2 linked regions of the Lepisosteus oculatus genome follow. The protein of the gene in region 1 interacts with the protein of each later gene in a biochemical or structural test. Links are inferred from orthologs where the notes say so. Each region holds a gene or a part of one and is shown in the gene's direction. Other genes may lie near its edges.

Region 1 (7,412 bases):
TCTCTTTTAGTCTGTTAGCATCTTCGGACAAGCCTGCTACAGCTACAGACTCTTTAGTCATGTCAGGCTCCAAGATTGCTGCCTGTGTCACTGCTCTGCGGATTTCCTTCTCAGATTCACTCCACACTGAGGGATTCACAGGATATTCAAAGGAACTGTACTTGGACATGGTATTGCGGAAGGCAGCGGAAGCATTCTCTTTCCAAGCATCAATGTGCTTGGCTGTCAAACCTTTTTGCTTCAGCAAGGCTGGTAATGGGCTGATCCTGACAGTGGAGTTTCTCAAGTCCACCTCACAGAAGTGCTTCTCCATCTGACTGCTGATGACTGTCACCTGCTTCTGACCTGTATGAAGAAACTTCCACAGGGCCTGGTCAATGCTTTCAGTAAAGGGGTCTGGCAGCTTCCACACTGGTCTGTCTTTGCCATATAAAGCCGTGCCCAGGGACTCATAATACAGGTACACACTGATGGGCACTTTACTGATCTGATGTCTTTTTCTTATTACGTTTTCAGCAACTGGAACAAAAACAGACATATACAATTATGATGAAAGGGTTGGTTTCTGGTTTCAATTAAATATTGAATTACTGAAACAGGTGGAGGAACATGAAAAATAATTTAATAATGCATCATGTTTTTAAGAAGCATTACCTCTGTGGTCCAAAAAGGTTACAATAGCTGACTGCTCCCCATCCATCATCAGAACCTCTTTCACCTCTCCCTCTCGTTCGAAGTACAGCTCCATAAAGTCTTTGGTAACTGAAGGAATGTTTTCCACTTTCACACTTGTGGTGACTTCAAGGGGTCGGGCAACTAAATTCCACTGTCTGAACATCTTGTTTTTGGCACACTTGGCAAGAAAGGTCTGAACATCTGCAAATACAAGCGATTCTTCTCCATGACTGACTCATTGTATATTGGAATCACAGTCTCTCGTCACTCAACATTCATCAATTTTTCATCCATTTTCAGTACCAGTTTATCCTCAGAGGGTTGGGGTGGGGCAGAGCCTGACCCAGCAAACACAGAGTGCAAGTTGACAACTGCACTGAAAATGGAACAGTCCAACTTAGGGTGCACACTCACATATCCACACACCCCTACACACACAGAAGGCAATACAGAAACGCCTTATAGATAACATGCACTGAATTTTAAACAGGGAAGATCTCCAAATCTTTTAATATGATTTTTGTTCATGCCAGTGAGATTTGTGATATACTGAAAGGCAAGAAGCTAAATACCAGCTGCTCACAGAGGTGTAATCTCAGATTTAACTGATTTAACAGAAAAAAATTAACTTTCTATCAATATGTAACGCATGTTTCATTTCACGCCTCCACATAATCTTACCTTTGCTGTTTTTAAATGACACAACTGCTGCATTTATATCATATATGATCTCTAAACTGAAATCAGACTCTGCAGAGCAATCTGCGATGTTTTCCACCAGCATCTCCAGAAAATCCTTGCTAATTTTCTCCTGAACATTTTCCAGCACCAAAGAGGCTGTCTCTGGAATGTCTTCATCTGGATCTGTGTTTTTTTCCTGAACTTTGGAAGAAACACTGGATTCTTCTGGAGCATCTTTGAGAGTAGAAGATGAAGACGCTGCAAGAGAGGTATTGCAATCAAGAGGCTAAAAATGCAATGGCGTTCACTTATGGTATTATAATTCTAGATCTTAATTTAGAATTATTCAGAGCTTTTGCAATCTCATGTTCTAATGAAGACTATGAAGAGAGATGGACCAGAGGAGTGTGTTCACACATTCTTATTCTTCCCATGCAAGGCAGGAGGTATCAGAGCCGGATGCCTATTCACATGTTAAACAATAGTCAATATAAAACTGCAAAATATAATTTTGAAAACCAACCATTCATTTTCAGGAGCTCTTATTCTTGCCCTTGGGAAACTGAAAAGTGTCAAAGGGAGTGTCATCCAGCACATGGCACAAGGCATGACCACACCCTGGACAGGACGCCAGGGCACACACACATGCAGAAAGCAATTCAGAGATGCCAAATAATTGATTTCTGAACAGCATGTCCTTGGACTGTGGGACAAATCCCACACAAACAAGACGATTACATGCCACATCCTCCACACGGACTGAGCCACAGTCAAACCAAGGGCCTTGGAGCCAGGAAGCAACAGCAATACCCACTCACTGACAGTTTCCACGTTTTTTTTAAAAGAACAGGGTTTGAACGCAATCATGCTTTTACAGTTGTCCATTTCATTAAAATGCTTTATACTTACATTTATGTGTGCCAGAAGATTCTTTTATCTGAAATAAGAAACAACATATCTGCATTTTATTCCTAGATTATAAAACTGAACAGCTAATTGTGCTTTTTTCTCTCTCAGGCTTGTGCCATTTTATGTCAGAGTAGTTGACACATTGTGTACTTTATGATTTAGCTTAAGTCTTGATTTTTTTTTGTAAATGTAAACCTTTCATACGTCTGTAGAATATTATACTCAGGTCTCTTTAGAACACAGAAAAATGAGGGTGATGCGCGATAAGCACCCCACCACCTGCAAATCTACATCACTTACTGGCTCTGGGCTTTTCTCAGCTGGTTGTTCCTGTTTTCTGACAGTCAGCTTCACCACACTTTTGTCTAACTTCAGCGCATGGTTCCCCTTCTCAAGAATGCGCTGCCTGGCTGAAAATTGGAGAGAATGCTGTTCACAACCAGTAATTACTGACTTGCTGGTTTCACTGCCCACTCTCTCCAAAGGCTCAAGGTTAGTGGACAGTATGGCACATTGGTTTTAGTGCTCTCATTTGTTTTTGACACACTCTAACTTCTAACACCATTTGTGGGCTCTTGTATTGCTTCCAGAACTACTGTATGTTCTAATTAACCACAGGATGGCCTTGCACCAGCAGGACTCCCCCACACTCCATTCATTCTTCCTTATTGAGGCTGTGATTATGGACATGTGACTCTCAGACTGAGATAAAGACACCAGCTTTTTGGAGATGAATCTTCAGACATACCCCAAGAAAGAGGTCTGGAGCTGACTTACAAGCCTCAAGCAAAGAGTCTGAGTTTTGTAGCTTTTGGTGATGCAGTCTGGGTTAGTTGCGATTCAGGGAAGGAGTGGAGTAAAATCAACAAGTGTATTAGATATTCATTAGCTGCAACTGTGTTGCAGGTCCTCTCCAGGTTTGGTAACTCCTGTGTTCAGTCATGCTGGTCTGGGAGTTCATCCCTAATCCCTGAGAGCTGCAGCTCTGCAGGTTATGTAAAATGAACTAGTTAAGACCAATAAAAACAATATCTGTTTCTGTTAAGTCATAAAGAGCACAGGTGGAATGAAACCCAGCTCTCTGATATAATTTATATAATTTCTTATACTCAATATTTAAAATAAGTAATAACTGTTACTTAAGGTTATATTTTGCTGTATTATATTATGACATTTGATCACAGATTTGTAATAAGCAAATTACTTTCATTTTGAATATCGTTTATTTATACATATTTAATTTACAATAGCACGAACGTGCATCGAAATGTGACTTGCAAAACCCTCCCATGTCTGGTGTATCACAAGGTAAATCCTTACCTCTGCATGAACTTTATTTGCTGTTCCTACAGCTTTATCGGCCACACGCAGTTAATAGGTCGATTTGACCATTTTGAGCAACATGCAGACATCTCGGAAAGACGCACTAACACCTGAGAATGTAGGTCTTTACAGATTTAAGAAAGGTGATTTACGCCAAAGAAATGTACTGTATGTGTGGACGGTACTTACTTTCCTCAGTTCTGAACCACACGACAGCCTTTCGTTCCCCGACGTCTCCACAATCCACCTGGCAGTCCCCTCCACTGGACTTCTTCTTACTCTGAAAGTAAATCTGGAGCTTGTTTTTCAGATTGGGAATGCCAGTCCAATCGCCTTCCACCCAGACAGGGTACAGGTAGCGCTCGGCCATCTCTCGGCTCAGCCCGGTCGAGCCCCTCGGAGCTGTACTTGTCTCGGAGCGGCGCTTTCGTTTCGGTTCTGTTTTCTCGGAAATCCCCTCGTCCTCCTGCCGCTGTAAAGACCAGCAGGAAGTTGTAATACGGTTAATGCTGAATGTTTTATCAAGCTTGTATGGTCATAAAATCCTGACGACAGGATCATACAAAGAATACAGCTCCGCGAAATCATTATACAATCCCTCGTTTTTGTTTCGTTAATATTCAGGACAACAACATATGCAAATAATCATTTTTCTGTCTCATTTCAGCAATACATACATTGCTGTTCCCTAAAATACTCCTCTTTGATAAAAAAATATATATTTTTAAAACACAGATTTTAAATTTCAGTTGCGAGAATTCTCCATTTGTTATAGAGGGACAATCTCAGGCGACACCGACCGCAATTTACCTCAGCGATAAAGTCCGCTATTCTAAACGGGACACTGCTCTTAGTGGAGTTCAGACTTCGGAAAGATCATGTGCATGAAAAGGCTTTGAAGAAAGTTGCAAAACGCCGACGCGTAGCCCTCACACTTCCAGAGGACTCTAAACGCACTATATTCTCTATTCTGTATCACATTTACGATGATACAGCGATCGTATACAACCAGGACTTGGTAACGCTTTAATCTCATAATCGCATATTAACGCCACATAATAAAACCCCCGAAGAACATAACAACTGATTTTAATTCGCTAATATGTGACTTAATGCTACGAAAAAAAAAGCCAGGTACCGCACCCAGTCTCTCTCCACATCTACGAGGAAAAGTGCGACTTCTGCGGGACGGTCGGCCAGAGCTGTTTTGCTACAGCTACAGCTCGACTTTCACTTTCGATTCCGGGCGACGGGCTGTTTTTTTCTGCCTGGATTCTGCTAGGAGGTCAAAAGGAAACTTAACGCCGAAAAAGAAAGACTTCATTCCTGTGGCTCTCTTCTTTTGCTGGTAAATCATGACTGTATCATCTTTTCTATGCGACCATCGGGATTTGTGTTCCGTTTCATTTGGTGAAATTTAGTTTTTTTAATCGGGGTCTGCAAAGAAAGTTGGAAAAACAACAAGCAGAAAATAGCAAGTCCTTTTCATGTGCAACGCAGATTTTATTTTCGCACCAGCGGGGGAATTCACTAATTTTTAGTTTTCAATGGTTAGTAGGTTCTCGTTCATACTCGAACAACAAAAAAAAAATGATAACACGACAATAAAGAGAGCGCAAAGGGTGAGCGAGCGATAGGCGACAAACTTGCATTACGTATTGCGACGTCGCTACGAGCCCTAGTCTAGATTCCGAGAGCAGGTCCTTCAGTCCTGTGCTCAAACAGCAATGGTGACGCGGAAAGAACTGTCTCGGAGCATGAACGTCAAAGTTATCCTTTCGCGTCTTTCGTTACCTTTACTTGTATCTCTCCCCGGTTCTTCCTGATTTTCGTTTTATGGCGCATTATACCTGCACAAGTCTTCTGAGAAAATGAAAGTTTTGTCTTCAGTGTGTGTACGCCCGTTTTTCAGTTTTAATTGTGTTGACAGCGCGAACGGTGTCAGAGTCACTTTTGAAAAGTAATTCATGCTACTTGTGTAAAACATACTTTTTAAAATTAATAAGAAATTGGGGAACGTTGAGAGGTAGGTAATATTTTTTCATATTATTTATGCACACACTTCATAGATTACTGTAATGTATTTCAAACCTTTTTCCCCTAATGACTTTCCAGTATACAAAAGTAATCCCTTACACAAGTGACAATCTGTAATGGATTACTAAATGTCACATTTCCCCAACATCCTAAATACAGATGTGATGTACCAATGTCTCAGTGTTTTTTCATGAAGCAGAACCATTCAGCATGCAGGAAGGAGTAAACACATATCAGCAATGGGAAACAAGCCCCTTGTTTCTGAAGGTAGATTCTCCCTTTGTGCTCGATTCGGGCTGTAGAGGAGCCCCAGAGATTTCTGGAATAACGTGTGCCGCTTTCTCCTCTCGCAGCTTTCCGGTGCAGGATGAGCTCAGGACTCCAGAGCCGAGCGGACTCTTCGGAGGTCCCGATCGCCCGGGAGATCGCGCGGATGTTGATCGGCAGTGCCGACCTGGGCGCGGTTGTCCTCAGTAAGTTCGGCTGCAACGCTGCGCTCAACCCCGCGGACCAAGTTTGGTCTTCCCCGAGCTCCTCCAGGCCGGCCCTCGTTCCCGAAAAGAGGTTTTCGGCGAGGCTGGGGAGGGGGTCGATGCTCTCCGTCTGGAAGGACGACCTGACCGCTCACCGGGTGGAGGCGGTGGTCAACGCCGCCAACGAGGACTTGGATCACTGTGGCGGCCTCGCCCTTGCTCTCTCTATCGCTGGCGGCCCAGAAATACAACATGCGAGCAATTATTTAATCCAGCTTAATGGGAAAGTAAGGACGGGAGACGCTGTAATCACACAGGCAGGACAGCTGCCCTGTAAGGCAATCATCCATGCAGTAGGTCCACGCTGCAGTCCTTACCCCAGTCAAACAGAACTTGACAGAGCTGCACCTCTTTTAAAAAAAGCTATTTGTAGCATTTTAGATATAGTAAAGAGAGAAAAACTGAAGTCTGTGGCCATCCCTGCCCTGAGCTCTGGCATATTTAACTTCCCTCTACCACTGTGTGCAGAAGTCCTTGTGAAAACTCTGAAAGAGTATCTTGAGGACGAGATACACCTAGGGGATGTAGATGTCCGCCTGGTCAATAATGACGAGCCCTCGGTTCGTGCCATGGAGGGGGCCTGCAGACAATTCCTGAGGCCAGACAGGTCCTACAGTCAGGCTGTCAGGAGCCCCGCGAATCCACAGGCCACGGGCTCACTGCAGCTCGGGAGGGTCACTCTGCACATCAAAAAAGGGAGCATCGAAAACGAAAAGGTAGGATTTCTGATCGTCTCGAGAAGATACATGTCACTCAGATTGTTGATCAAAAATCAAATGCAGCACATTAGTTGGGGGCACTTGAGCTGTTTATTCTTTGGCACAGATTTAGCAAAAGAATAAAGAATCACAGGCAAACTGTGATAACCAATGGCCTGTATCCTGACCAACCAAAAAAACCCTGAGACTGCTAACCAGTATTCCAAATCCTATAAAACACCTAACATGCTAAAAAGAGAGAGAAACCTTCATCCTAAATAAAACAGGATACAATCCAAAGTGAATGGGGCCCCATCTCGCACTGCATCCACTAACTAGGAGTGAAAAGTTTACCGTGGGAAATCATCATAAAGGGACTGTGTTTCCTAAAACACAGAAGCAAGCTCTCTCAAACAGGGTTCAAATATTTAACTAGAATCTGGTCGTAAGAGTTGATTCAAACATGGTGCCTTCTTGTATCTCTCTCTGTCTCTTCCTTTACTGTCTGTGTCTCTCTCTTCCTTGTGTCTGTTTCTCTTGCTTCTGCCTACTTGTC
Region 2 (7,726 bases), on another chromosome or scaffold:
ATCATTCACGCCTGCAGGTCTGTCTCCTTGCACTGATGCTGGGTCCATCTGCGAGCGTCTGTGTGTGTGTCTCTGTGCTGAACTGTCCATGTCCACACTGTCCAGGCTGTGTCTGTGCCCCTGGGTCTATATTCATGCTGTTCCCCTGTGTCTGTCCAGGCAGTTGGCAGCCTGTGCCAAGGACGGCTCAGACCCCTACATCTCCTTCAGCCTTCTGCCGGACAAGAACAAATCCACCAAGAGGAAGACCAGTGTGAAGAAGAGAGACCTCAACCCAGAGTACAACGAGAGGTCAGGGCGGGAGGCGGAGTTCTGTCCTCGTGTGCGTGATGTGCAGCTCTCAGGGTGTGGTTCTGACCCTCTCCCTCTCTCTCTCTCTGCAGGTTCGATTTTGAACTCTCCCTAGCGGAGTCTCAGAAGAGGAAGCTGGAGCTCTTTGTCAAGAACAGTGTTTCCTTCATGAGCCGAGAGAGGGAGCTTATTGGCAAGGTCTGAATGCCCTCCTGTCTGTCACCCCATCTGTCTGCCTACCTGTTTGCCCGGCTGTCACCTGTCTGCCTGTCTATCACCTGTCACCTGTCTGACCAGCTGTCACCTGTCTGCCTGTCTATCACCTGTCATCTGTCTGACCAGCTGTCACCTGTCTGCCTGTCTATCACCTGTCTGCCTGTCTGACCAGCTGTCACCTGTCTGCCTGTCTATCACCTGTCTGCCTGTCTATCACCTGTCACCTGTCTGACCAGCTGTCACCTGTCTGCCTGTCTATCACCTGTCTGCCTGTCTATCACCTGTCACCTGTCTGAACAGCTGTCACCTGTCTGCCTGTCTATCACCTGTCTGCCTGTCTGACCAGCTGTCACCTGTCTGCCTGTCTATCACCTGTCTGCCTGTCTATCACCTGTCACCTGTCTGCCCGGCTGTCACCTGTCTGCCTGTCTATCACCTGTCACCTGTCTGCCCAGCTGTCACCTGTCTGCCTGTCTATCACCTGTCACCTGTCTGCCCGGCTGTCACCTGTCTGCCTGTCTATCACCTGTCACCTGTCTGCCCAGCTGTCACCTGTCTGCCTGTCTATCACCTGTCACCTGTCTGTCCAGCTGTCACCTGTCTGCCTGTCTATCACCTGACACCTACCCGACCAGCTGTCACCCTGGCTATTACTGTACTGTGGTCTGTCTGTAGAACGCCTCTCCGTCTGTAACCCCTGGCGTGTGTCAGTCTGTGAGTGGGCGCAGTGATGCCAGCCCCTGTTCCCTTCCCTTCCAGGTCCAGATCGACCTGGCGCAGGTGGACCTGAGCGCAGGGGTCACGCAGTGGTGAGTAGGGCTCAGGGACAAGCTCCATCACGAGGCTGAATACAGCCCCTCACATTCCTGTCCAACAGGAAACTGTTGGCTTGAGCTGCTGTCTTCCTCCCACTGACTGTGTCTCTCTCCGACAGGTACGACCTGAAACAAGAGACTCACTAGATAACCAACAGCAACTGTGATTCAGCCTTGCCCAGCGATGCCTTTCCACCCCCCCACCCTCTCTCTCCTTCTCTCCTCCCCTTCTCTCCTTCTCTTCCGTGCCAAGAATGTTTTTAAAATGAATGATTAACAGTTGAATTGTACTGCTGTAGTGTGAGTACTGGTGAGGGGCAGACGAGAGAGGGAGACATCCCCAGCCCCTAGGAGACACAAACATGCCCTTCGGCCCTGCAGCCCAGCTCAGGTCCGACCCAGGGTCAGGAGCAGGCCCTCGAAGTCACGACTGCAGGGATTCGTCTCGCGAGACTTCTGCTAGCCCCCTTGAGCTGCTAGCCCCTTGAGACTCCTGCGGGAGGCAAGGGAAAGTATTGTCTCCACGGCTCTGTTCACCTTTCGCCATGCTTTTGCATTGCTCGGTGCCTGCCCACGATTCCGGCTTATGCCCTTTCTCACTGTGTCACGATATATATATCACGACAGCGCAGCCCCGTCACGGAAGACTGGAGTCCGGAAGTTTCTGTTCTGTTGGTTTTATCACAGGCTGTGTCTGCAGTCGGAGCTCCCCTTGCCCCTTTGCTGCTTTGGTTCGGCCCTGCGCCATGCTTGGTGGCCAGTGCCAAGGTGCCCCCTGGGCACGCCCCCAACGTCGCTCAGCCCCTCCCCTACCTATGGGCGTGTCCAGGGAGCAGGTTGCAGTCTCCCTGGATTAGGGACCAGCCAATCAGCCGCAGGGAGGGAGGGGCTTTTCTCCATGGCGATGGGGATCCTGGCTGTGACGCTCGAAGGGACTGGGACTGTTCTGGAGGCAAGGGTCTCCAGCAGTCTTTGCCCTGGAGAACAGGTGCATCAGCACAGGCACCTGTACAACTGGGAGAAGCTGCTCAATTCATCCAATTAAATCAGAGACAGTGACAAGGGAGGGGAGGAGCAGGGGAAGCGGAGTCCAGGGTTCGACTGGAGAGACAGCCTTCATTTTGCCTTACCAGAATATGCCTTTTTATTTTTTGAAAAGCCAAAGATGTTTCTTGAAATGTTATGCTGTAATATCTATTTTTTAATATTAGTACTGTTGCTTTTATTGTTTTGAGAGTGATTTGAACTGGTTCATTCCATTTTTTACTGCCCAGTTTTAACCCGTGTAGCTGTGTCCTCTGGGCTCTGTGTGAGAACTATGCCTTATTGTCGGGCGTTCTTTTGCTATGACACCAGGTCCCAGGTCTCCCGTATGGTTCCCACATTCCCACACATTCCCATACAGCCCCTCACAGCCCCTCACAACCCCTCACAGCTCCTCACAACCCCTCACAGCCCCTCAAAGCTCCTCAAAGCCCCTCATACAGCCCCCCACACCCCTCACAGCCACTCTCAGACCCTCATACAGCCCCTCACAGCTCCACACAACCCCTAACAGCCCCATGCACCCCTCACAGCCTCTCACAGTCCCACACAGCCCCACACAGCCCCACACAGCCCCACACAGTCCCACACAACCCCACACAGTCCCTCACAGCCCCACACAGCCTCTCACAGTCCCACACAGCCTCTCACAGCCCCACACAGCCCTACACAGTCCCTCACAGTCCCTCACAGTCCCACACAGCCCTTCACAGCCCTTCACAGCCCCTCACAGCCCCACACACAGCCCCACACAGACATCACGCCTTGCAGCATAATGAGGAGCTGTAGGTGTTCTGTCCCGATGATGTTGTAGCACTAATAAGAACAGTGCACTTGGCACATCCCTTGTGATCGCATTTCCTCTAGATCTGGCCTGATGTGTTCAGCTCAGAGGTCATGTGTATCTTGTTTCACCCACAATCTTGGATCTGCAAATGGGGTTGTTCTTAAGACACAAAGGGTTGAGATTTAGGACCTGGTGCAATCGTGCATAAATAAACTCCTGGTTAAATTATTGTCACTATTGAAGTGTACGTTCGTTTGGACTCTGTGTTGATGAAGAAACGGGAGGTATCTATACCTCTGCAGTGACAGTGCTGTGAAGTAGAGCCCGCCAGGTGTAGCTGATGTTTTAAAATAAAAAAATGTATGTATTTCTGCTTTTGTCCCTCCAACAATATCAGCCTTGAAGAAGGAGTGGATTAACGGCAGAGCAGAAAACAGAATGGGGACAGTGAGGCTGTGTGTGTATCAGACTAGTGTTACTGAATGAGACCAGGCTGCCCAGTGTAATTCAGTCTGTGGATGGGGCATCTGCCTTTGTGGAAGAGGGATTTCTGACAGACTGACTGTACAATCACAGTATTCAAATGCCACACAAAAGACCACCGGTGTCACTGTACCGCTTTCAATAAAACTATTTGCACTGCAACACACACTCTATCTGGGGTGGTCTCTGTCTGAGTTTCTGCTGTGCACTGTGCATGTTCACACACTGGGTAAGCAGAGAGATGTCCCTGGCTATTTAGAGATATATAGGAACAGAAACCTGGTTATAAATAGACAAGGTGCTTAAATGAGTGATCAATGCCAGTTATTTAAGGTTGGGAGTGGATATCAATTTGCTCTGTCTGTTTCATGGCCACAAGCTGCAAAACTATCTAAACTGTTCTGTTTGGGTATAAAACCGAAGCTGGCGGCGACAGACAGCTGTCTTTCTGTTACCGACGTTGCACGCTGACCAACAGGTGGACAAGAGGAGCTCCTCTATAAGCAACAAAGATGTTCCTGGTTTAGACACTCCTTCCTCTCTGCACTCTGAAACACACCCGACTAGTATGCATTCCTGTGACGGGTAAAGACTGCTTGCTTTTCCAAAGAGCACTGACAGTTCTGGCTCTGTAGTCCTGGCAGCTATTCTGTTCCTGTAGCTTGCTCCTGTGCTCTGCGCTCTGCGCTCTGTCACTGCAGCAGTTCCTTGTATCTTAACGTTTTTCAGCCTGTATTGATCAGCTGCAGGAACTGTCTGCTGCCCAGGAATGTAACAGCTCCCCCTGCGGCTGCATTAGCGAGGAAACTGGATGCGACAGCAGAAATTACGTCCTATTATTATTTAAGTATTGTAGACACCTAAGCTCCTCGGTACCAATATAGTTAAATATTGACGTGCGGTAAAAGCAACGCAACAGTCAAAAAATATTTTCAAGTGAACTTCTACTTAAACAAACCCCAACATGGTGTATTTGAGTTTTAATCGAAAGTTACGTTTCCCCTGAAGCGAAAGTTCGGTTCGCGCAGATAAGACAGCAGGACAGCGCCCCCTTTTGTCCGTTGTTGGAAGCTGCGGGACTCCTTCGCTGTTTCTCTTTCATTTTAGCCGAACCGAAAGTGAATGCCAGTCTGGGCGTAGAGCAGTCGGACTTCCACCGCCGAGTCAGAAAACGGTTCAAAAACAAATCTGTTTGATCTCTTATTGTGGACACCTAGTCTTAATTTGACTTTAGAAAGACACGCTGTGCTTTGCTCCGGCAGCAGAGAAGCAGTGTAGGATCTGATAGCTGGGCAGTGTCGAGGTCTTCATAAGGTAACAATTCACTTTATACTTCCTGTTTACATTCCACCAGTTCAGTGTTGTAGCGACGTTTTATATTTAATAATTTTATTTACTTTAGTATTCATTCAGTTTAGTTTGTCTTGTCTTTAGTTTGTCGAAATGTAAACACACAGGTGTTGTCGAAATTGTAATTGACGGAAGTGCCGAGTTCAAGGTGTGAAAGAGAAAGTGACTGGAGTTGATATAATCTTGTAAAATAGAGCATATACATTCTATAATTATTTTGCTTTGCTACACTAAGCTACAGTTTTCATATGTAGACGATTGTGGAGCTATAATGTGGCCGTAGTATAGACGAGTGTGGAGCTATAGTGTGTCCGTAGTGTAGACGAGTGTGGAGCTATAGTGTGTCCGTAGTGTAGACGAGTGTGGAGCTATAGTGTGACAGTAGTGTAGACGAATGTGGAGCTATAGTGTGGCAGTAGTGTAGACGAGTGTGGAGCTGTAGTGTGACAGTAGTGTAGATTAGTGTGGAGCTGTAGTGTGACAGTAGTGTAGACGACTTTGGAGCTATAGTGTGACAGAAGTGTACATGAGTGTGGAGCTATAGTGTGGCACAGTAGTGTAGATGAGCGTGGAGCTATGGTGTGACCATAGTGTAGACGAGTGTGGAACTATAGTGTGACAGTAGTGTAGACGAGTGTTTAGCTATAGTGTGGCAGTAGTGTAGACGAGTGTGGAGCTGTAGTGTGGCAGTAGTGTAGACTAGTGTGGAGCTATAGTGTGGCAGTAGTGTAGACGAGTGTGGAGCTATAGTGTGACAGTAGTGTAGACTAGTGTGGAGATATAGTGTGGCACTAGTGTACAAGACTGTGGAGTTATAGTGTGGCAGTAGTGTAGGTGCATGTGGAGCTATAGTGTGACAGTAGTGTAGACAAGTGTGGAGCTGTAGTGTGGCAGTAGTGTAGACTAGTGTGGAGCTATAGTGTGGCAGTAGTGTAGACGAGTGTGGAGCTATAGTGTGACAGTAGTGTAGACTAGTGTGGAGATATAGTGTGGCAGTAGTGTACAAGAGTGTGGAGTTATAGTGTGGCAGTAGTGTAGGTGCATGTGGAGCTATAGTGTGTCCGTAGTGTAGACGAGTGTTGAGCTATAGTGTGGCAGTAGTGTAGACGAGTGTGGAGCTATAGTGTGACCGTAGTGTAGACGAATGTGGAGCTGTCGTGTGGCAGTAGTGTAGATTAGTGTGGAGCTGTAGTGTGACAGTAGTGTAGACGACTTTGGAGCTATAGTGTGACAGAAGTGTACATGAGTGTGGAGCTATAGTGTGGCACAGTAGTGTAGATGAGCGTGGAGCTATGGTGTGACCATAGTGTAGACGAGTGTGGAACTATAGTGTGACAGTAGTGTAGACGAGTGTTTAGCTATAGTGTGGCAGTAGTGTAGACGAGTGTGGAGCTGTAGTGTGGCAGTAGTGTAGACTAGTGTGGAGCTATAGTGTGGCAGTAGTGTAGACGAGTGTGGAGCTATAGTGTGACAGTAGTGTAGACTAGTGTGGAGATATAGTGTGGCAGTAGTGTACAAGAGTGTGGAGTTATAGTGTGGCAGTAGTGTAGGTGCATGTGAAGCTATAGTGTGTCCGTAGTGTAGACGAGTGTTGAGCTATAGTGTGGCAGTAGTGTAGACGAGTGTGGAGCTATAGTGTGACCGTAGTGTAGACGAATGTGGAGCTGTCGTGTGGCAGTAGTGTAGATTAGTGTGGAGCTGTAGTGTGACAGTAGTGTAGACGACTTTGGAGCTATAGTGTGACAGAAGTGTACATGAGTGTGGAGCTATAGTGTGGCACAGTAGTGTAGATGAGCGTGGAGCTATGGTGTGACCATAGTGTAGACGAGTGTGGAACTATAGTGTGACAGTAGTGTAGACGAGTGTTTAGCTATAGTGTGGCAGTAGTGTAGACGAGTGTGGAGCTGTAGTGTGGCAGTAGTGTAGACTAGTGTGGAGCTATAGTGTGGCAGTAGTGTAGACGAGTGTGGAGCTATAGTGTGACAGTAGTGTAGACTAGTGTGGAGATATAGTGTGGCAGTAGTGTACAAGAGTGTGGAGTTATAGTGTGGCAGTAGTGTAGGTGCATGTGGAGCTGTAGTGTGGCAGTAGTGTAGACTAGTGTGGAGCTATAGTGTGGCAGTAGTGTAGACGAGTGTGGAGTTATAGTGTGGCAGTAGTGTAGATGAATGTGGAGCTATGGTGTGACCATAGTGTAGACGAGTGTGGAACTATAGTGTGACTGTGGTGTAGACTAGTGTGGAGCTGTAGTGTGGCAGTAGTGTAGACGAGTGTGGAGCTATAGTGTGGCAGTAGTGTAGACGAGTGTGGAGCTATAGTGTGGCACTAACAGGGGATGGATTTCTGGACTCTGGACCAGAGAGTTGTGGGTTTGAATCCCAGCTGGGATGTTGCAGTTGTTTGTTTGAGCGGGGTGATTCAGTCAAGCTGCACGCTGTCTTTTGGACTCTGGAACTGTTGTTTTACATGGTGGACTGGATTTTCAGTGCAGAGGTCCAGTAGCTTCTGCGAGACACAGAAGAGGCTGTTTGTGCGGCCCTGTGACAGATTCAGACTGGACAGAGTGTTTTTAGAGGGGTGAGTTACCACATCCTGAGACTGCTGGAGTTGAGTACCGCGCTTTCTTAACTAGGAGGAAAGAGGCATGATTAAGACAGAGACTTGGGGGAGGAAAAAAACCTCGAATCACAGGGCGTAATGTATTGTTTTTGTAAAAATTTAGGAAGCCACTTCCTGAGTG

The links. The genes of interacting proteins can lie anywhere in the genome.
Region 2: the proteins of parp9 (region 1) and E3 ubiquitin-protein ligase DTX3L-like form a complex in vitro, tested with the Homo sapiens proteins (3 studies listed by BioGRID). The link is inferred for Lepisosteus oculatus from reciprocal best matches to the Homo sapiens genes PARP9 and DTX3L.

What each region holds. Positions count from the first base shown.
Region 1 is NC_090707.1:6,605,189-6,612,600, reverse strand, and holds the start of parp9 (protein mono-ADP-ribosyltransferase PARP9), read left to right. Parts: upstream 1-4,401; 5' UTR 4,402-4,936; intron 4,937-4,995; exon of another isoform or gene 4,996-5,138; intron 5,139-5,189; exon of another isoform or gene 5,190-5,382; coding exon of another isoform or gene 5,383-5,433; exon of another isoform or gene 5,434-5,614; intron 5,615-5,978; 5' UTR 5,979-5,992; coding exon 5,993-6,874; intron 6,875-7,412. Other genes in the region: parp14rs1 (poly(ADP-ribose) polymerase family member 14-related sequence 1), read right to left, coding at 1-519, 655-876, 1,357-1,614, 2,266-2,293, 2,566-2,675, 3,778-4,060, 5,383-5,433.
Region 2 is NC_090696.1:14,713,072-14,720,797, forward strand, and holds the start of E3 ubiquitin-protein ligase DTX3L-like, read left to right. Parts: upstream 1-4,725; 5' UTR 4,726-4,950; intron 4,951-7,708; 5' UTR 7,709-7,726. Other genes in the region: extended synaptotagmin-1, read left to right, coding at 1-17, 160-291, 384-489, 1,267-1,316, 1,442-1,469.